Linked DNA regions of Medicago truncatula. The protein of the gene in region 1 interacts with the protein of each later gene in a pairwise test. Links are inferred from orthologs where the notes say so. Each region holds a gene or a part of one and is shown on either strand. Other genes may lie near its edges.

What was found.
Region 2: the proteins of protein ACCUMULATION AND REPLICATION OF CHLOROPLASTS 3 (region 1) and cell division topological specificity factor homolog, chloroplastic interact in binary tests that used the Arabidopsis thaliana proteins (3 or more experiments, as listed by UniProt). The link is inferred for Medicago truncatula from reciprocal best matches to the Arabidopsis thaliana genes ARC3 and MINE1.
Region 3: the proteins of protein ACCUMULATION AND REPLICATION OF CHLOROPLASTS 3 (region 1) and plastid division protein CDP1, chloroplastic interact in binary tests that used the Arabidopsis thaliana proteins (3 or more experiments, as listed by UniProt). The link is inferred for Medicago truncatula from reciprocal best matches to the Arabidopsis thaliana genes ARC3 and PARC6.

Annotation. Positions count from the first base shown.
Region 1 is NC_053042.1:54,510,882-54,518,709, forward strand, and holds the start of protein ACCUMULATION AND REPLICATION OF CHLOROPLASTS 3, read left to right. Parts: upstream 1-4,757; 5' UTR 4,758-4,869; coding exon 4,870-5,189; intron 5,190-5,318; coding exon 5,319-5,377; intron 5,378-5,527; coding exon 5,528-5,592; intron 5,593-5,935; coding exon 5,936-6,070; intron 6,071-6,366; coding exon 6,367-6,415; intron 6,416-7,639; coding exon 7,640-7,752; intron 7,753-7,828. UniProt on the Arabidopsis thaliana protein: Together with MIND1 and MCD1, regulates FtsZ ring positioning in chloroplasts in an ARC6-dependent manner. Z-ring accessory protein involved in the initiation of plastid division and division site placement (might functionally replace bacterial MinC).
Region 2 is NC_053046.1:18,841,289-18,848,637, reverse strand, and holds cell division topological specificity factor homolog, chloroplastic, read left to right. Parts: upstream 1-4,343; 5' UTR 4,344-4,476; coding exon 4,477-4,569; intron 4,570-6,088; coding exon 6,089-6,691; 3' UTR 6,692-6,955; downstream 6,956-7,349. UniProt on the Arabidopsis thaliana protein: Acts as a topological specificity factor during plastid division and specify plastid constriction sites (such as the Z-ring) in a MCD1-dependent manner. Especially involved in epidermal plastids division in a FTSZ1-dependent manner.
Region 3 is NC_053047.1:36,577,386-36,585,444, reverse strand, and holds the start of plastid division protein CDP1, chloroplastic, read left to right. Parts: upstream 1-5,004; 5' UTR 5,005-5,209; coding exon 5,210-5,467; intron 5,468-6,737; coding exon 6,738-6,851; intron 6,852-6,965; coding exon 6,966-7,103; intron 7,104-7,220; coding exon 7,221-7,325; intron 7,326-7,419; coding exon 7,420-7,542; intron 7,543-8,059. Other genes in the region: auxin-induced protein 15A, read right to left, coding at 211-513. UniProt on the Arabidopsis thaliana protein: Component of the plastid division machinery required for PDV1 localization to constriction sites. Involved in chloroplast division site placement. Required for the proper formation of FtsZ rings at the division site in nongreen plastids (e.g. etioplasts).

The DNA.
Region 1 (7,828 bases):
CTAAATCCATTTCGAAATCACGACCAAACATAGACAAAGGACATTTCAAACATACGAGAGAAGTAGTCACCGAACCCTTAGCTGGAGTTTCGACAACCATCTCTCCATTCATATCAGACAAATCAAGACCCAAAGCAGAAACACAATCGAAAGCAATAAAACAATGCGTAGCACCAGTATCAATAATAGCAACTAAAGGAGTATTATTAATATAGCAAGTACCTCTGATCAAACGATCCTCATTCTCTGTCTGAGTCCCAGTCAAAGCAAAGACCCTACCAGTAGTCGGCGCCCTCTTAGGCTGAGTACACTGTGAACTAATGTGACCCTCTCCATTGCAATTAAAGCACACAATGTCTGTACGATTGCAATCAGCTACAACATGACCTTTCTTGCCACACCGGACACACTTCTTGATTTCCTCAGGGCAGACGTTGCTCTTGTGGCCTTTCTCGCCACAACTGAAGCACACAATCTCTGCAGCATCCTTCTTCTTAGGCCGCCTAACATCGACCATCTTCTGTTTCCCTTTATCAGCGGGGGCACTGTACGGCTTAGGACGACTCTGCTGTCCCTTGCCCTTCCTCTCGTTCACTACCTTGCAGTGAGCCTTCGTATCTTCTTCATAGATCCTGCAGCTATTAACCAAATCCTGAAAAACTCTCAGCTGTTGGTATCCAATCGCCCTCTTAATGTCGGGCCTCAAACCGTTCTCGAACTTGATGCATCTCGAGAACTCAACATTCTCAGCAGTATAATGTGGGTAGAACTTAGACAGCTCCACGAACTTGGCAGCATACTCTGTCACAGACATGTTTCCTTGCTTCAATTCAAGGAACTCGATCTCCTTCTTCCCGCGAACATCTTCCGGAAAGTATCTTCTCAGGAACTCTCTCCTGAAAACAGCCCAAGTCACAACAGCTCCCTCCTGCCCAAGGGTAGGCAGAAGAGCAACCCACCAGTCATCAGCTTCCTCGGCCAGCTGATGAGTACCAAATCGCACTTTCTGATCCTCCGTGCACTGCATAACCTGGAAAATCCTCTCAATCTCCTTAAGCCACGTCTAGGCTCCATCAGGGTCATAACGTCCTTTGAAAGTCGGAGGGTTCTTCTTCATGAACGTCTCCAACATCCTAGCTTCCGCGTTCGCACCAGCATTCACGTTAGGTTGTTGTCCCACGGCTTGGGCAACAGCTTGTAGAGCAGCAGCTAACGCAGCATCGTTTCTTCCAGCCATTTCCGAGATTCTACAAAAGTAGCAACAACAACATAAGATAGTAATATAAATATTACTAAGACTCGACACGACTCTTCTAATTGACCGGACGGACCGACCTGCTCTGATACCAATTGTAACACCCCGTTTTCCCAACATAAAAATTCTTAAAAACATTTATCAGAGTAAGCATCATAAACAACGGGATATCACATAAAACATAATCCAAACAGTTAAATAATAATTTAACCAATATCTTAAACATTGCAGCGGAAAATCATAATCATAATTCATAAAACGTTTTGGCACGTAGGCCCCATCAAAAGTTCATAATCATAATCCATAACATTATAAAAATAACATATTAGTCACGTAAGAGAATGAAGCATGCATAAACCCCATCCCGTTACGTATCAGAGCGACCTAGACGACACAGTGAGGCAAGGCCACTCACAGAAGCAACTGCACACTAAGCACGATCACCTGCAAGTTACCCATACGAAGGGCAACATTTTCAAGCAGAAGGGGTGAGATTTCATAACAAAATAATGCTAATCAAAGTAATTCGAATCATAATTAACATCATAATCATTCCATTATTAACTTTGCATAAATGCTAACAGTTATCACGTAATCATATATCCAATTCATTATGAACAACGTAACATAATCACTAAACACTTATCACGTAATCACATATTCATTCATCATCAACAAGACATCTTAATCATGACAATGTGACAATGCTCCTAGACTCCTTATATGCATGTGGTACCAATCGTCATCATAAGTATTAATATACTTTAATCGTGCGGAGGACAAAGCTCCTATAAAACGTGCGGAGGACAAAGCTCCTAATATTCGTGGTGAGGACTAAGCTCAATGATATGCTATGCATGGACACATATGAACAAAACATCGTAATCAACTTATCAACATGCATCCAATAATTTGGAGCTAAACTTCATCATATAATTATGCACTTAGTTAAATAACGGAAGCAGCATAAACAGGTCACATAACAAGATGATATCATTATATCAATAGCACATAAATTGTATCATTATCAACTCTTCATATCTTGCATAAATATACATTACATTAGCTCATGTTCAATCAATATTATCATGACTTAGACTACTCTACAGACTGCATTTAACAACATCACTAGGTCTCATTACCAGTTAGGGGTCCACTCTTGATCAACAAGTGCGACACAGATCGCACAAACACATAAACAAGTTCATCCTGGTTGTACTCGCGAGGCGAGAGTACTTACTCGCCATGGCGAGTACCACTCAACTCCCAAACTAAGGTTGTTCTGGGTCTAATCTTGCCCTACATTCATTCCTAATCATAACTAGGTATGTTCAGGCACACTAAAGCATCCAAGGTCCAACTAAAAAGGTCGAAACACAAAATCTAACATGCACTCTGCCTTAGCTCGCTATGGCGAGTAAGGTCGCTCGCTATGGCGAGCTGCATTGCACAACTCGCGAGGCGAGGAACAGGGTTCGCGAGGCGAGATTCATAGCTCGCTGTGGCGAGCGATGAATGTCGCTACGGCCAGACTTCCTAAATTCACAAAAACTCGACGTTTCACAAGGTTCTAAGCTTGTTTTTGATTCCAAATTCGTCCTAAACATTATCTAAGGTCTAGGAACACTTTTTACATCAATTAAACCAATTCTCACCGTTTAATCATCGATTCTAAGGTTTTGACCTAGTTTTCGTTTTCTCCAAATCACTCCTAATTCTTGTTAACTAATCATCAGAATCACATTCAATTAACAATACTGAGTTATTAGTCTCACCCTTACCTGGTTATGAAGAAATCACAGCCCTCTATGCTCTTCTCCCTTCTAAGCTTTTCTCCCTTTTTCAAAAGTTTTCACGTACAAAGAGTTTCTAAAATATTAGGTCTTCTCCTATTTATATCTCTTCCTAATTACTTATCTTATCTCACTTTCACCCCCAAAACTATCTAAAATATCAAAACAGCCCTCAACTAAATATTTTATATTATTTTCAAATCTTTATTTTATTTAACAATAAAATAATTCTCATATCATAATCAAATCCTCCAAAACTCATAACTTATCACATCATCAATCAAATCACTAAATTCACCACAAATCATCAAAACATATCAAAATCATGCATATATTATATAATTATAATATAATTGCCTAAACTCAATTAAATAACGATTAAACGAAAGTGGGCGTTACAGTCACCACCTTCCACCATCAGTTCGTAGTTGGAAACCTATCGTTCCCACCTTCTTGCACAAGTTCGTGATCGGAAATCCCAAACAATTTCAGATCCAATTTCAACTGTTTATGTGTTTTTTTATTCTATGTTCATCACGATCGATCGTTCTCAACTGATTTCCGTAATATTAACATTTCATTACCGAATCTAATTTCACCTGAAAATATAACTCACTAGATCTGTATTTCCTATGAACCAAATTATTTACAATGAAAAAGATGAAGAAAAATAAGCATTATTTCAGGTTAATTATTTACAATTAAAATCATTTGGATCTTGTTGTCTATGTTAATTAATGGTGGTGAAGAGTAATTGACAGAAAGTGTTGTTGTCGACGGCAATTGGGAGAATGAACAAATGAATTAGTTTATGAGAATGGATAGAATAGGGTGAGACACATATGAAGATTTTAATGTAGGATCATTTATTTTTGATCATATGGTTGATAAGCATTCTCATCATTCTCATATAATTAACCCATTCTTCACAAGATATGTCCTATATGTGTGTGTGTGTGTGTGTTAATAGGATATACTTGTTTGGTTGTGGTAACGATGTAACGTATTTCGTTTTATCTTTTAAAAAAGAAAAAACAAATTTGAAAAGATAAAAAGATAATAATATGTTTTTTAGGCAACAATATGTTAAACTTTAAGGGTAATAGTTATTTTAGTCCTTGAATGTGTAACGAGTGGTCACAATAGTCTTTGAATGTGTCAAAATTTTAAAATAGTCCATGATTATTAATTTTATCAATTCAAATAATCCCTGCGTTAAAATCTTCTATTAATATTGTCATTTCAGTCTCTCAATATACTTACCTATTGTTATATTAATGATTATAAAGTACTTTCGTATTGTCATATCATTCATTATAAAAAAGAATTGTTGTAAACATCGAAGGACTACTATAACGTTAAAGACTATTTTGACAACAAATTTCACAATTAGGGAATATTTTGAAATTTCAATAGGACTATTATAATTACTTGTTACACATTTGAAAACTAAAATGACTATTTCTCACTAAACTTTAATATGTTTTCCATTGGATCAGATCCTTCTATATATGAGATATCTCAAACTTCTCTTAAACTTTCACATTTTTTAACGATGATATTTTACAAAGAGATTAATGGTGGTGGATTGACAGTCAAAGTAACTTTGCACACACAATCAATCAAAATATTGAATCGCAACATCGTTAACTCACTATTATTTCACCTATTTACATATAAAAGAGTTTTTTTCTTTCTTTCTTTTTGGTTGAAAAAATAGTGTAGGAATACTAGAAAGAGAAAGAATAGAGAACATAGCTAAGCCTTAATGAAGGAAGCCTTATCTATTCTATTGTTTGTACAACAGCAACGCAACGCTAAATGGAGCTTACTGCATTACCCACAACCTTCAAAGCCATTTCTAATTTCACCTTGAATCAATTTCAATGTCGATGTTCTCTTTCTCTTCTTCGTCACTGCGATTATGGATTTCGTCGCAATCGCAATTCAAAACCGTTTCTACACATCACAATGTGCACGGAGGACAAACTTCCGTCGTCCAACGGTTACAGCTGCGGAATTGATATTGGAGAAGAAGCGAAATCCGATTTGGTTGAAGTCATTGCAATTGGCGGTAGAAAGGACGCAGTTATTGATTTCTGCTTGAATTCTCCATTTCAGCTGTCTTCTCTGCGCTTTTGGTAATTATTTATACACAATTTCATGTAATCGCTACTTTAGGATCATGAATTGAAAGTAATTTGAAAAAGTAATTTACAGAAAAAATTAGTAAGATTAGATTATAATTGTTGATGTTTTCTTTTTACCAGGAATATCATTGTGAAAGATTCACAAGAACCGCAATTACAACAAAGGTCTACTAAACAAGGTTTGCATCTCATTTCTGTGATTCTTCTTCATTTTTCCATGCATTTCACTACTAAAAATGAAGCTTAAACCTGAGAATTCAGTCCAAATATTCATACATAGGTCACATTCTGTTGTTTAAAGGTACTGATATTTGACGTTATCTCTGCAGAACCCTGCCAAGGAATTGTCAAAGCCCCAGTATTTATGAAGTCGTGCTCAAAGACCATTGTCCTTGTTTGTACATTCCTTTCCTTAAAACTCTCGCAATAAAATATTTGTTTCAATATTGGTGATCTTCATCCATAAAGTTACCTCAAGTGTAGTTTGCTTTATCATGTTAAACTGATGTTTGAAGTACACAAGTCAACTGAACTACTTAAATTTGTTATTCATCACCGTGAAAAGATATTTTATTTTGTTCAACTGAAATTCTAAGGCTTGACTTTTTGGATTGTTAGATACGGTAAAGCTGACTGCCATGAATTAGGATGTATGGCCTTAGGTTGTATTTTTCCAGCCATGATTCGTGAAAGTGGTCCAAATATGACCTTTGGTTATCCCCCATTTTTCTTCCTAGGTGGCTAGTGCAGGATATGGATCAGACCACACTGTCGCTTTTGATATTTTTGAAACTGTAAGGTCCACAAATGGACTCACAATTGCCATAGTTTTGAAGCCTTTTAGCTTTGAAGGGTTAAGACGAAAAGATGAGGTATGCATGACGCTTTGTTTGATTTACTTTGTTACTGTAATGGCATCAGAAATCATAACCTCAAACCAATCTGTATGATAGTTTTTGAAACATATCTCCGTGCAATATGATGAATAATTCAGTGAGCTCAACATCTTATCAATTGTGATTTCTTGCAAAAATGCTACTAGATGTTATTAACCATCTTAATATTTTTCACTTAAGGATTGATTTAGTTTCCTTGATTAAACTATTATGTTTTGCAATTCAAGCATTTTTGTTCGCATGATATAATTATTTGTGTCACGAATTCTCAGGTAAAAGCTTTGATGGGGAAACTTAAGGAGAATACTAATTTACTTATTGGTGAGCTATGTGCCATATTTTTACAACTTTTTCTTTTTCTCAAAGAAGATTTAGTTGTGTTGATGATTAAAAACTTCATTAAAGGCTGTCATATCATGTTTGGCTGTGCTAAGTCTGAAGGTGAAGCTTGCTGATTCGCCCATTGCGACATACGTCACAAGTTTGCTCAATGTCTTTTTTTGTTTGGTAACACAATATGTGAAGGCCTATTAATTCAGTAGTAAGGAGGGTAGATCAAATGGAGGGGAGTCAAATCACTAGAAGTAGATGAAGACCTAGAAAAACAATAAGAGAAACTATCAAGAAGGATAGAGATTAATGCGTTGGATAAAAATATGGTTTATGATAAAACACTATGGCGTTGTTTGATTCATGTAACCGACCCCATTTAGTGGAATAAGGCTTGGTTGTTGTTGTAACACATTCTGTGAAAGCGAATCAGTTATAAAATCAATACTTGTCAATCTGATATTTGGTAGGTGTCAGTTGGGCTTGTTAGTCTCATGGTCATGGGTCTGGATTCTGCACTATGGAGTGACTTTATGTAGTAGTGAAGAACAGAGGGAATTATATATTTTTATTTACTTCATATAACATAAATACCCTTGTAAATTTCATGGCTACTTTCACTTTTGCAAGATTTTCCTTGCTTACCAGCTTGAAATCATAGAAAGTATGAGAATTGGGCACATGAGACTGATTTTGAAGACCTTCCTACAAGTATGAAGCAACCAATTATTAGATAAAAATCAACTTTTTGTACATATTTTAGGAATGCTTTTGGAATTATATTTCCTGCATGCCACACATACAAAAGAACTCCGATCCATATTGCCTGAAAATACTCAAACTTGGGCACAAACATCAATAATTTTTTTTAAAAAAAAAATATAACTTATTTCCTGCATTCTTAAAAATAAATAAATTATCAGCACATTTACTTCAACCAACCGCGCTGTTGTAATGCAAAAAAAAAAGGCATTCTTAAGAGTTTCTCAAGTTTAACATGCATAGGGTGACAATAATTGGAAAGATATAGTAATTAGATGGATTTCTATCATTGGGATTAAGGGTGGATGCTGTAAGTGGTTTAAAGTTCCTGTGAATTAAACTGATAAAAGTTGAATAGGAGAAGAAAGAAAAATATAATTTATTTTTAATAGGATCATCAAAATGCCTACAGAAAGTTTGAAATTTTGCTCACTTTTGTTGTTTATGAGACAGAAATTGATATCGACGCACTTCTCAAAAAAGACTTGTTGACTCTAGATGAGGCTATGAAGACTGCAAATGATGCTGTTTTGCTAGCTATTAAGGCCATATCTGTTCTAAAATCTGTAAGTTTCATTTCCAAGTATTTCTTTTGCTCTTTGTTTGTGTAAAAATATTGTATGGTTAACGACTTATAGGTGG
Region 2 (7,349 bases), on another chromosome or scaffold:
GATAATAGCAGCACACAGATTATCGTGCTCAACCTCTTGTTGCTTTTCTCATTGTAAATTAATGGACGGGGAGAGAGAAGGATAATGGGTCTAAAAAAATTTAGTATTAAGGGTATATGATAATACTATGATCTTCAAAAATGGTTGCCATCTATTTTACAAAAAAAAAATAAAAAAAAATAAAAAATCATGTCTCCTACGGTAGGAGATCTAAAGAGGTCTCCTACCATAGCCTTTGTCTTATTCTCATATGTCATTGTTCTACCGTGAAATAGCGTTGCTTGTGTAGTATTTTTGTTTAATTGAAATCATAGATTTGAAAGTTATTTATGTAAATCTGTCTTGGGAATCATTGAATTGTTGATTTGTAAAGATATTGCACAACACAACTTATTGTTTCGAGTAATTATTGATTAATAGTATATGTAGTTCTTCTTTGCCTAAAATCGTTGAAACAGAGACTATGTGCACGCATAACATTGCAAATCAAAATAAGCGGTAATAAGTGGAAGATTTAATTGAACCCTCTACCCAACTTTATTGTTACTATTTTCTTCCCCTAAATTTTTTATTATTTTCTTATTTTTCAATGCAGATAACATTGTAAATGCGCTTTGACGCATAACTCGCGTTTCGACGTCTAACTTGTATAGAGCATGGACCCGTGATTAGCACGAGTTTGTTGCTACTAGACATAAAATATTTAACTTTTTTTTAAAAGATAGAAATTTTAAAAAAAAATTAAGTTAAATGAAAAATATATCTTAACCTTCAATATTATTTATGTGTCCTTGTTCATTTTTTGTGTGTCAATTAGTAATTTTTTTTGACAAAGGAGTGGATGCAAATAGGAGAGATTGAAATATGTAATACAATCACGTGGACTTATTTGTCTTGAAAATTGCTTTTCTGACATAAAAAATATTAATAACACATGGAAAATTCGAAAATACATTAGCGGTAGTTAACTACGGTTGTGTTTGTTCCGGGAATGCAACAACTTACATTCAACCTTTTTTTTTCTATCATTCAACCTCTTCTTTCAACATTTTTTTAATTAAACCCCCTATTAATACTCTCCCAACCTTCACCATTTCCTCATACCATCATCTCACATTCTCTCCTCCTCACTCTCCTTCCTCCTCTTCCTTCTACAACAACTAGAGCTGTCAAAACGGGCGACCCGGCCCTAATGGGCTTCGGGCTTTATCGGACCGGGCCAAAAAGCCCGGTTGAAAAAACGGGCTTGAAATATACTACCCAAGTCCGGCCCTACACGGGCAGGCCCGTATTAATTTTATTTTATTTATTTTTTTTATAAAAAAATTACTATAAAATACTCATATAATTTTTTTTTATAAATAATATTTTTAATATGTTTAAATAATTCCTAGAACAAAAATAAATTGTAAACATTTTTGTACAAACGTCGTAAACTAAAACGGCGAGGAAAACAATTTTAAATAAATTAGATACGTTATGGTTATAGATATTTATATTTTCGATCTTTAAAATTATAAATAACGAAACAGGTAAATATAATTTTATATTACATGTATATTTGTGTTAATTCATTGAATTTTCACTTTTATTTATTACTTTGATAATCAACTAAGTAAAGAATTATTTGCAAAATATATAACATTTATAGGTTTTTATTTGTTATGCGGGCTAGCGGGCTACCCTCGGCCCGTTCGGGCTAGCCCTAACGGGTAGCGGGCTTTTTAGGGCCGGGCTAAAAAACCATATTAAAATTCGGGCTCAATATTTAAGACCCAAGCCCTATAATTAATCGGGCTAAACGGGCCGGCCCACACGGCCCGGCCCGTTTTGACAGCTCTAACAACAACAATGTTGTTTTTTTCATCCTTGGCCTTTCATTGAAAGAGGCATCTTTGAAAATTTGAAAATTTCAAGAGGTTTCTTTGAATTGGTTTTACCCCAGGATTTAGGGTTTATGGTTTGTGATTTTTTTTTTTGTTTTAACCCAAGTGGAGGTTAAACAATAAGAGTGCAGAGGTGAGGCACAATTCGAGAATTGATGTTGTCATGTAGCAGTGCCATGAGGAACAATTGATGGGTCTTCTTGATGTTGTCTTGTATGAGTATCTTGGAGAAGAGTATCCGGAAGTTCTAGGTTCAATTTGAGGTGTTCTCTAAGATTCTTTTTATATCGTTTTCTGGTGGTTTTTTTTAACTCAGATTTAGTTTTACCCCATCATGAATGTATCATAATATTAATAAAATGAGATTTTATACCTATTACTTTTGTTCCTTTATTTTTGCATTTATTTTATGATTGTATATGGAATAAATAAATCCGAATAAAAATTGTGTATTAAAAAATAAATAAATTCAAAAAAAGACTAATTAAACACAACGTGAATTCGAATAAAAATTGCGTATTAAATAAATTCGAATAAAGTTGCATATTAAATAAATTCGAATAAAAGTTACATTACATTACATTACATAAAGTTCCTAAATATGTCCTATCATTACATTACATCCGGGTAGAGATATGTGGTGCAACAACTGTCTTACCTCTGAAATTGGACAAATTCAAACCTGCTAAACAACAGCTCTCAAGCATTCACCTGGAAGTTTTATTGTCTCATTCAAAAGATTAAATTCTTGTTAGTTTGTTGAAGATGTTGGTATTGAAGTGTCAAAAGATTAAGAGAACACAACATGTATCACGCAGAATCAGCTACATATGTTATCACATCGATTTCCCTCATATAAGACGAGTAATCACATAGAGAATGAGGTGCATTCTGTGACACTCATCTTATATGAAGGAATTCAATATCATAACTTATATAGCTGATTCTGCATAATACATGGTCTCTTAATATTTTGACACTCCAATACCAACATCTTCAACAAACTAACAAGAACTTAATCTTTTGAAAGGCACAATAAAACTTTCGGGTGAATGCTTGAGAGCTGTTGTTTAACAGGTTGACCTTATCCAATTTCACAAGTAAGACAATTGTTGTAGTTGGAAGGTGCATTCCCTACCTAATCACGATCTTCTGGCGGAATCAAACTGTTGAGAATATCTTCAGTTGATCTCTGCAACGTGACAAACATATCGATCATCGGAACCATGTTGTGCTGCCAAAAAATCGAGAACATACTCCTCACGTCGTCGCCGTTCTTTAACTCTAGCAGAATGAACGTTATTCTCCCGTCGTCCAACGTTAAACGTTCATACCAAATGTATTTCACCCTTCTCGTGTCTCCGGGGTTGAGTCTTTGGTTGATTTCATCTAGTTGATCCTTGAGACCTTTTAACGTGACATTAATGTACCGAACCTTGAACATCTAAGGATTTCCACCGTTGAAGCGTATGCAAACACTGAAAAAATCGGCCATTGTTTCAAACATACCTATACAATAAAAAAATTAAACAATCAATGAAAAATTCATTCAAACATTTCATCAAACATTTGGAGTGCAAATTATACACAAACCCTAAAAAACCCAATTTTTTTTATAAAACTTGAAAAAAAAAATATAAATTTAAGCAATATAACTCGATTATAACAAATATTCATAATATTTGTTAATAGCATTTCAGATCTATAACATAACGCTATTAAAAAAATAAATCAAAATTTAAAAATTAAACTACAACTAAAATTATAAACATATATACCAACTAAAATTTATGATAATAGCCTAAATGATTACTTAATTGTGATTTAGTGGCAAAAATTTGGATGATTTGGTAGAGTTTTTTTAAAGAGAGAGAGTGAAAATTGAAATTTTTAGAGAGAGAGAGTATTGAAAGGGTGGCTGGAAGCTGGGTCCTGACTTGAATATGTAACGAACGCAGCGGTAGTTAACTGTTGCTAGATATACCAATGGTAATTAACTATGCTGGGGGCAATTTTGTGTTTACCATGTGTTATTAGGAACTAATAGATGTTAGGAAGGACGTAGTGCACATGTGAGAGACTTAGGTGAGTCATCCATTCTAGAATTCACGGTATTCTATAATGGGATAATAGTCCCTAATGTTAAAATGTTTCATTAATATTGTTATATTAATTCTTCAATACACTTACTTATTATCATATCGGTCTTTATAAGTACTCACTCATTGTCATTTTTAGTATTTATATGAAAAGAGTTATTTTGAATATTGATATATTATTTTAGCGTCAAGACTATTTCAACTAAAAGTGTGTTGCGTGCACAATTAAGAATTATTTTAAATTTTGAAACATTGATGAACTATTGCAATTACTTGTTGAGGGGACATAAATGACTATTAAGTATTATCCCATTATTTAATCTTTACTTTTTATTTTTATTTTTTTTGAGAGGACAGTGCCCAACTCTTTTGGAAAACGGTAAAACGACGACGTACTGAAGTGGTGATTGAGGGGCAAATAGGGTACACTACTTGCAACAACAGTGAACAGAAGCACTGAAAATCCGTTGGGAAATCCGAAGCTATCAACAATGGCGATTTCCGGCGACATTAGAGTCACTGCAACTCTTCCACTCCATCGCTCACACCCTCTTCTTCCAACCACTTCTTTTATTCCTCCAAAGGTATCGTTCCTTTTCTTTTTCTCTAATTAGGGTTTCAATTTTAATTTTTAATTCGAGCTTATATTTTTACTTTCAAATTGATGGCGCTGTTTTAGATTTTACTGTGTAGTGTTAATTATTAAGAATGTGTAATAGAAAAAATGAAAATTAATGTTTGTGTTGTTTTAATAGTGGTGTTGAAGAAGAAAATTCGACTCTTTTACTTTAATTTCTAGTTCAGAAATGTTGGAATTTATGTATGTATTTAGTTTGGTTTGGCAATTAGCATGATATTCTATGAAGCAACAACTTAGACACCAGACACCAGAATGTCAACACCGATAATAATTTGAGAAAATGACATAATTTAAGTTAATTATAATTATATGCGTCGGTGTCAGATTCAATATATTCAATATGTATCTGACACCGGGACATCCTAATCCAAGGAGTATTTGTGCTTCATTATGTTTTAAATTGTGATTACATTAATTGAAATTTTGGATAAATGTTGCTCATTAAACCATATTTTAAGCTTATATTTATGGCGAGTTTGGAGAAATTATCGTGGGACTGTGATTTTTGTTGAAACTTCAAAGTGTAGTTTTTGTTAAAATTTTGGTAGCGGATTGTTATTCTGTTAAACTCACTATCAATTCAAACATGTACTGAAACCGTGGTGCTTTTTGTTATAGATGTATTTTCGGATGACAGAAGTCCTTGAAAATTATATCACATGTTTGAGTAATAAAATGAAGGGGAATGAGGTCTCATAGTTTTAATGAGCTGTTATGTTATTGTCTACAGTTTATAAGGATTGTTGATTTACCACAATTCATTACTCACTATGTCCAATAATAATTGGCCTATTTGCAAAAGAAATTTGTCCCAGAATAAGTTAGTTTCAAAGGTTGTCCTAAAATAATTGACGCTTTCAATTTTGAAGGTCACATTAATTAAATATACCACTCCCAATTCAATACCTTCTACTTTGCATCAACGGCGATGATAAATACACCTATACATGATAAGGATAATACAATATAAGTACTATTCTTTGTCTTTAATTTATACATTTTGTTGATTTGTGCGAAATAGTCAAACATGTCATATTTTATGGGGGGAGAGTGATTTGCAACTCTATTTCGTGTCCCTCTAGACCAAAGTATCAGTGGAGTGCATAATTGTTTTTCCACTATATTCCATTTGATTGGAAATATGTGTTATCTATTGTTATAAAGTTTTTGCCTTAGAGAAATTGGAGAAAATATATGTGTAGCATTTTTCCATTTTGTGCTGACCAGTTGCTAAAAGAGGATGTGATACAGCTGTTTTCCTTTTTGATATTCAGTATAGTGGAAAAGGTTGTATAAAATGATCTTTTATCATATTTATCGTTGAGATATTTAATTTAGATGCTTGTGGCTGGACTTCTTAAATGTTACATTTTTTATAGATGCGAAAGTTTACTTAAAATCCTTACAAGATTTACAAAATGTTGAAAATGCCTTGTTAATCTCTTAATTTTTCTGTCTAACAGGTCGATTTTCATTGTTTCTTAAATGGAGGGTCCTGCATATCTGGATTCACCCCAAAACGTTCCACCATGACAACTGTACGAAGCAATATGCGTGGCTATCACAAGCCTGTTTTTGCAGTCCTTGGAGGTTCTAATTTTTCATCAAAGTCAGGTAGCCAAGAAGCCGAGAACTTTCTCCTTGATGCTGTTAATATGAGTTTCTTTGAGCGTTTAAATTTGGCTTGGAAGATAGTTTTCCCATCAGCAGTGTCTAAGAAAAGCTCTGTTGCTAGGATTGCCAAGCAACGTTTGAAGATGATTTTGTTCTCTGATCGATGTGAAGTAAGTGATGAGGCAAAGCAAAAAATAGTTAGCAACATTGTGCGTGCTCTATCAGATTTTGTGGAAATAGAATCACAAGATAAAGTTCAGTTGAGTGTCTCTGCAGATACAGATATTGGAACCATTTACTCTGTTACAGTGCCCGTACGGCGGGTTAAACCAGAATATCAAGTGGTGGATGAAACTGGGACAATAACAAATATTGAGTATAAGGACACCGGAGATATTTCAGGTTCTGTTGATGTTAGATTTGATTTCTATGTTCAGGATGAAACGTCTTGATTTTGAAATAAAAGGTCTTGAATGTTGACTTCTTTGCCAGAAGGCAGTGTTTGAAACCCTTACCGATGAAGCCAATTTGGAGTGCTGTATATATATTTGCAAATTGAAGCTTCCGTTAGGGTGGGTGACTCGATTTTAATGAGAAATTTTGTAACACCTTTTATCTGTTAGTCTGGTTTGATGCACTGTTTTTAACTTTATGATAGGATTTTGTTGCTTGTTGTATGAATCATTATTATAAATGGAGTTTGTAGTTCATTCTCACTGGCCATTGTAAGGGAGCTGATAGTTTAAGCCTGAGCATATTAGTTAGAATAAAATCATGGATTCTCCCTAGCTAGCCAAAGCCATTGATGCTCCACTCAAACCAAGAAGAATCTATGTGCTTAATCTTGTTTGGGTTAAGCAAACAGCTGCAAAGACCTTGACATTCCTTAAGTAACATTACCATACCTTGTATCTTACAGCGGTTTCCTGAGAGGTCAGTTAGTTGCAAGTTTGCTCTTCGACCTTGCTGAACTCTTCGAATCTGGCACCAACTTTCGAGAGGAGCAAAAAACTAAACAAGCCCAGGAGCCATGTGATCTATATTTGCCCTATGAAGAAAAATGGAAGAGCTGAGAAGAAAAACTCATATGTTGTATCTATATCAATTCGT
Region 3 (8,059 bases), on another chromosome or scaffold:
GTTAGTATTTTAGTAAATCATATATTTTTTTAATTGAAATTAACTAGTAATCTTTGATAGAAATTAGATTACAATCTAAAACCACAAAGATTCATTCTTTGGGAAATTTATTCTAAAATACTAACCTCACACATTTTAAGGTTGCATCTATTTGAATATTAATATATAGAGAGAGAAAAAAATAAAGTTACGAAGCAGCTACAACATTTTTCATCTATCCAAACTAGAAACAATGGACTCAAAAACATCTTGGCGGCAAGGAAGAGTGAGACCCTTACGATCATGATCAAAACCAAACTCTTCTTCAGCTTGACGGAGAAGGTTTTGAAACACTGGTTGATGTAGAAAAGAAATTGGAATAACATATTTGATTCTGTTTTCTCCAACATACACAGCAATGTAGCCTTGGGAAATATCTGAATCAAGGCATTGACGATCATTGTTAACTTGTGTTTTCTTGCCTAGACATGAAAATTTCTTAAGAAATTTTTTGATGGGATTTGTTGGAGCCATTGTGTGGATTTCGTGTGACAATATAAGAGATTATAATTTTAGTTATGGTTTTTGTAAAGTGGTATGATATTAAACACCCTGCGAATTCTATTTATAGACTCACTCATGTGCATCTCTTAGATATTTTTATATAATTTAAAACCGTATATTTGATTTTATTTAAATCCAAAATATAATTCTCTTGAAACAATTTCAAGATCATATTTAAATAATTTTAAAACCGTATATTTCATTTTATTTAAATCCAAAATATATTTCTCTTGAAACAATTTCAAGATCATATTTAAATAATTTTAAAATCGTATATTTCATTTTATTTAAATCTAAAATATATTTCTCTTAAAACAATTTTTAAATAATATCTTTGATTTTATTTGAATCCAAAACATATACTTTTTGAAAAAATTCGCTTATGTGCACCTTTTCAATATTTTAAATAAAATATATATTTTTTAAAACAATTTCAAAATCATGTATTTTATTTTATTTAAATTTGAAATATATTTCTTTTAAAAAAAATTCAAAATCATATCTTTAATTTTATTTGAATCCAAAATACATTCTTTTTGAAACAATTTCAAAATAAAATCATTAATTTTATTTAAAACCATTTTATAACACACACATTTATATATATATATATGTGTGTGTGTGTTTTCAAACAATTTCAACATTATATCTTTGTTATTAATTTATTAATAAGCCTCTTTGACAAAAAAAAAAAGGCTGACTTATTTATTTATAATTTTTTTTCTCATCTATTTGTATTTTGTGCTAGACCTTGTATGTTCTCGTAACATTTGTAATCATATTAAATAATACATATTTAAGTTAATATTATATACAATAAATAGGAATTATCGACACATAAGTGTCATCCAAGTGACAAGAATGTCATGTGACCTGACAACACTTTTATGTGATAACTATAATGGATATAATTACTTCTTTTCCCTTTATGCCTATAACAAAAAACAACATATAGATTGTGTAATCTATGTATAGTTCAATATTTATATTTCTTGGTTTTGAAATATATTGAGTAAAGAATAAATTCAATATCTCATTTTTTTTAAGGAAGTTCAATATCTCGTATTAACTTAGTTAAGCATGACCATGCATTTTTACACTCATATTCGTAAGAGTCTTAAATACATTTTTCATGTTTTGAAAAAGTTGTATTTTTAGGCTGGTTTTCAAGTGGGTTTGGGCTAAAAAAACTAGGCCTTTTCCTCAAATTTGCAAGAGAAAAGAAAAGTGTTTTCTTGACATAGAAAAGTTCATAAAGACACAAGTAAAATACATTTATGCCCCCAGCAGTCGTTAACTGCCGTTGGTTTTTCCCCCAAAAACCAGAAAACCCCTACCTCTCCTATTCATTCATCACCTTACACCACCAATACCATACCAAAAAAAAAAATCCCCTTATCAAATTTTTTTTGTCAAAATCTTGCTTCCAAATCATTGCTGATCGATTGCTATGACGTTTCTACACACAATATGCATCAAATAACAGGTATTACAACGTTAAAATCCATTACATTTGATTGATTTTTCTGGTTATTTTGTTTTGTACTGTCACAAGCTTGAGCGGCAGTTAACCACCGTTGGGTTTGAGCGGCTGTTAACTGCCGCTGGTAACTTAGAAATTTTTTCAAAATTGTCAAATGGCAGTGCTACTGCCCAAAAAAAAAATTTCAATTTTTTTTCCTTTTGTTTTTTTTTTGTTTATGTTATTATATGATATTAGATACATGTTTATTAATTAGTTTAGTAATTGTATGTTGTTTATTTATAGATAAGGTTGAGAATGCGGGTGATCGAAAACCTAGAGTTGTCGATTCCATTAAGGTTGAAGCTCTCGCTAAGGTCGAAGCTTCCGTTAAAGTTGAGGCTTCAAGCGTCAATTCCGATGTGTGGAAACTTCGTGACAACGAAGTGGACACGGCTCATTTATTTTCGACCCGATGTGTGGAAACATGATTTGCCTTGGTTTAATCCCAAATCATTTTGTCCTTCTTTCGTTGGTTGTCCACTACCTCCATCATCCACGGAGTGGAGAAATCATAGGAGCGATGAGGCAAAAACATGGGATTATGAATTCTTGGATCAACACGATCGTTTCCGAGCACTCATGGAGATTGAGGACAAAGAGAGACCGATTCCACCAAAAGAACCAACAAATGAAGACAATCCAATTATGTTTGATGACACTCCAGTTAAAGAAAATGAAGAATTTGAAGATGTTCTGGAACATTTAGATTATTTGCTTTTGTTAGATGAAATATGACACTTTTTGGTCGGTGTTAATCTGTTTTTTAGTCGATACGTGCCGACGTATTTTTTGGATATATAATGTAATGATTAATTTTTTGGGTGATATGTAATAACCTTTAACTATATATATATATATATATATATATATATATATATATATATATATATATATATATATATATTTGAGTTTCGCATTTATTAGTAATTAATGTACATTACGTGTAATGTGTTGCACAATGTGAAAAATTTGATGGATTTCAAACAATTGTGAAACGTTAACGCATTATCGGTTTTGTGTAATGTTACCGAATAATTGATAAACTATGAAATATTGATGTTTGTGATTGCTTGATGTTGTTGTTTCGGTTTGATTTCCTCCTGAATTGTCGTTCGAAATTATAGGTAAAACAAGACAAATTTCCTGGAAAAAACCAGTGCAGGCTGCACCGATTCTGCTAACTAGTGAGAGCGGCAGTTAACTGCCGCTGGCTCCAGCGGTTGTTAATTGCCGGCGTATTCTTGAACGGCTGTTAACTGCCGCTGGGGGCATAAACGTATTTTACTTGTGTCTTTTTTGTTGTTTTTCACCTAGAGGCGCACCTCACACGCTAGTGCAGTTTTCGCACACCCTGGGTGTCACATCAGCACTCAACAGCGTGTTTTTGGGTTTTTTTTAGTCTTTCTGAGTGTTTTCTTCCTTGTAACTTGTCCTGAGACTCGAAGTAGAATTTATTCTCTTTGTAATGTCTTCAGATGCTTTTTGAATCATCATCCATTGTCTTCCCAAATTCTCTTGAGATGATTTGATTTGTCAATTTGCATTATTTTGCATTGAATTACATCATGAAACCTAAGAACTGTTTGGTTTTGGGGAAACTAGAATTGCTTGACTCAAAATGAAAACGTTACAAAAAGTTCCAAAAACCATAGACAATTGTTATAAATATCCTCTAAATTGGATCAAAACCTAAATAAAATGACTGAAAAATATGTTGAAAATAACGTAAGATGACATGTCATTACCCTTGACCCCAATTTGTCTTGTCCTTGAAATAGTTTAACAATCAAACACTGCACAAATCGAGCTATCATGTCCTTCATTTTTCTGCAGATCATATGCATTTATAGTGTGCCAATGCATTATTATACAATGTATAAGCTTATCCAATCCAACCTTTATAAAATGTGATTATTTTGGGCCGCTTATATCATTGCTCCAATTACAAGGATTCTAGTCATCTTACATAAAATTTTGCTCCTTCGCACCTTGAAAATACTAAAATACCCTAAACGGCAGCTAAATGTCGTTTGCTCAATGAATTAGTCGAATTTAATTGCCGTTGAAAGGCATTTTAGTAGAGAGCGACAGTTAACTGTCGTTGAAGGTATTTCGGTATTTTTGGGGTGTGAGGGAACAATTCTTGAAGTGAAAAGATAAAAATCCCATTTATAACAATGATAATAACACAAAATCATTAATTGAGTGCGATAGATGTGAGATATCGTGTGCTAACACATTATTACATAATCTACAGACTAATTTAATTCGACCATTGTCTAACGCAATCCACTTTGGGCCCCTTGTATCCATGGTCTAATTATAGCGGTGGTTTGTAGTAGCGCGATCATCTTTGGGTTACTTATAACATTGATCCAGTTATAATAGTGATCCATAGTAACACAAAATCATCACTTAAGTGCAATAGATATAATATATCGTGTGTGCTAATGCATTATTACACAATCTACATGGTCATTTAATTCAACCATTGTGTAACATTATCCTCTTTGACCCCTTATAGCCATGGTCCAACTACAACGATGATTTGTAGTAGCACGATTATCTTTGGGCCGCTTATAACACTAGTCTAGTTGTAGCAGTGATCTATAATAACACAAAATCACAACTTAAGCGAGACTGATCTTAGATATCCCGTGCCAATGTATTAAGTTAATTTAATTCGACAATCCTCTCCATTTGGTATAATAAATGGAGTATGCAATTTGGAGAGAGATAGACACAGGGTCCTACTTTTAAGTGGATCCCACCATCATTAATTACTTTTTAATTTTTTGAATTTTTTTTTATCTATATCTTTTCGAATGGATGAAATCGAGAGAATAATAAATGGAGAGGATCTTAACTCTTAATTAAGACGAAAGAGAAAAAAAAAATCCACAATAATTATTACTACTTGTTTTAATTTGTCGTAATCTCCCTCTTTTTCACCCAACGTTTTTCACACACACTTCTCTCCCCCAATTCTTCACTTCTTCTTTTCTTCTTCATAACAAAAATTCCAAATCACTTTTCACAATTTCTAAACTCAAACCAATGTGTTACGAATTTCCAATTCAACAATGTTGAAATTTCACTGAACAATTAGGGTTTTGAAGAAAGGGGAATGAGAGTTCGCTCATGGCACTGGCTAATGCTGCAGTGATCGGTCCTTCTCTGTATAGCGTTGCTCGCATCACGAAAGCTCCTTTTCCAGGTTCACATGGAGAAATTGGTTCTAGATTTTGTGGTTCTGCGTTTTGTGTTTGTTCTCACGCTGGGAAAAGTGATGTTGTTCTTGAACGGAGGAAGTTGAAATTTGGTGATAGTAATAATAATCGCATTGTTGAAAATCAAGTGTTGAAATCGACAGTCGAAATTCCGGTTTCGTGTTATCAGGTGATTGCAAATTGGTGTTTGTTAGTTTAATTGCGTGTTTGTGTGTTTAATTTGTTTGATTATTCATTCGTCATTGTAATTATCATCGCCATTTTTGCGAAGTAATTAGATGTTAATGATAGGATCTTAGTGAGTTTGATGAATTGGAGGAATGATTGGGAGTGATGACCGCCCCGGTGAAACACTGACACAGACCCTAGACATGACACAGACACACGGCACTAGTAATAATAATTTAAGGAAATAGGAGTGATTGTATCTAAACACATGCGTCAATGTCAGACATTGACACGTGTTAGATACTCATACACGTCTTCAATTTGAAATGTTAGAAATGACACATATATAGACACAGACATGTAGGCGCTGGTAATAGTTTAAGAAAATAGAAGTGATTGTATTTAAACACCCGTGTTAGTGTTGGACACTGACACATGTTGGATACCGGTACATGTTTTTGATTTGAAGTGTTGGTGCTACATAAGTGATATTTGATATGTTAAAGAGAAATGACTCAAGCTTTAAAATAAAACTTGATGTTAATTCTCTTTATTTTATCATAAGATAAAGGATGTTGCATGGAATTGAATGTTGGAAGGTAAAATAACTAACAAGAAACTAAACTTATTGTTGTAATGATGAGATTGTCAGCGCAGGCACTGACACATGTTAGATATTTGTGCATGTTTTTGATCTGAAGTGTTGGTGCTACATAGGTGATAACTGACATGTGATAGAGAAATAACTCTAAGCTTAAAGAAATCTTTGGTATTCATTTATAATAAGACGGATGATGTTTTATGAAATTGGATGTTGGATGGTAAAATACCTAACAAGTAAACTTATTGCTGCAGTGATGAGATTATGAGAATGTTACAATGGAGGAAGAAATGGATATATTAGACAAGATAGGATTAGAAATGAAATTATTAGAGAAAAAATGGAGATGTGTTCGGCGAAGACCTGTAGATTAGAAGTAGATGAGGAGAGCGTGCATAGTCTTATAATTAGAGGTAAAGGAGAGACCAAAGAAAGTTACAAGCTATAAACATAGATTTAGGGGTAGTTTTATTCTGCAATTTTGGCTCGTTGAATATGATTGGATAACTCCATATGTTTTATATCATCAACTAAGTTTGAACATATCCACCCTTTGCATTTTTGTTTTCCATGTTATGAAGGAGTTGGTGTTTGAGACGATTCATTAGTTATGATGAGTGTTTTATTATTGTTTTGAGATTTGTTCTAGACCACTTGGTTCATTTTGCAGCTTATTGGCGTTCCTGATCGAGCTGAGAAAGATGAAATTGTTAAGGCAGTTATGAGTTTAAAAAATGCAGAAATTGACGAAGGTTACACAATGGGCGTTGTTGCATCTCGCGAGGTATAGATGTCACCACTAACTAATTATGTTTTGCTAAAATTGGTTTTAGAGACGCAGATAAAGTAACTGAGTTGTTGTTGTTGTTTGTTGCTCTCATCTAATATTACTTTGCAGGATCTTCTGATGGATGTTAGGGATAAGCTCCTTTTTGAGCCAGAGTATGCTGGTAACCTGAAGGAAAAGATTCCCCCTAAACCTTCCCTTCGTATTCCTTGGTCTTGGTTGCCCGGTGCTCTATGCCTTCTTCAAGAGGTACACTTGGCACATACTTGGTCTTTTTAAATTTTTTTTCTTCCCGATGACCGTGTATTAATTTCTCCCTGTTTTCTGGAAATATTTGACTTCTACTTCTCTATTCCTTCTGTTCAGATTGGAGAATCAAAGCTTGTGCTGGACATTGGAAGAACGAGTCTTCAGCATCAAGATGCGAAGCCATATGCAGATGATTTAGTTCTTTCTATGGCACTAGCTGAGGTAAGACATATGGACAGAGGTTGGAAAATTACTATCTGAATTTAAAACAGTCTTGTTTATATACCCTATTCTTATCATAGGTGTCTTATTGAAGTGTACAGTTGCGAAAATTGGCTTTGAGAAGAACAAAGTATCTCAAGGTTTCGAAGCTCTTGCTCGTGCCCAGTGTCTTCTAAGAAGTAAACCATCTCTTGCAAAAATGACACTCTTATCTCAGGTGTGAAACTTTTTTTAAGTGTATATTCACTGACTGGTTTGCTTAGTATATATTACCTCAGACCCTAAACATAGGCTCCTCTTGAGAAATTATCATGTCCCTTTTTATGGGTCCCCTTCAAATTTTGAAGTGTATTAATTATTTCTTTATCAGCATAATACTTCTTATTAATTTTCCACCTTTTTTAGAACCAACTAATAAACAATAAATACTGTCATGGGAAAGATAAATTCACCCTCTCTCATAAAGGGTAAACTTGGAAAAACTATACCAATTGTTAATAAATTTAATTTAATACTACTTTCAACTTTCTTAGTCTTCATGATTTAGTCAACAGGGTCTAATATTTATGTATTTAGGGACAAATGTAGTATTTTACCAGGAAAAGATTAGGCTATAAGCCTGTAAACTCCACCTCTCATTTCAACTACAAAGAAAAAGGAATCATTAATTAAACAGGTGTAAAATTGTTGTAATCCCTAGTTTTTGTTTCTAATTCAAGAACATTGGGAATTTC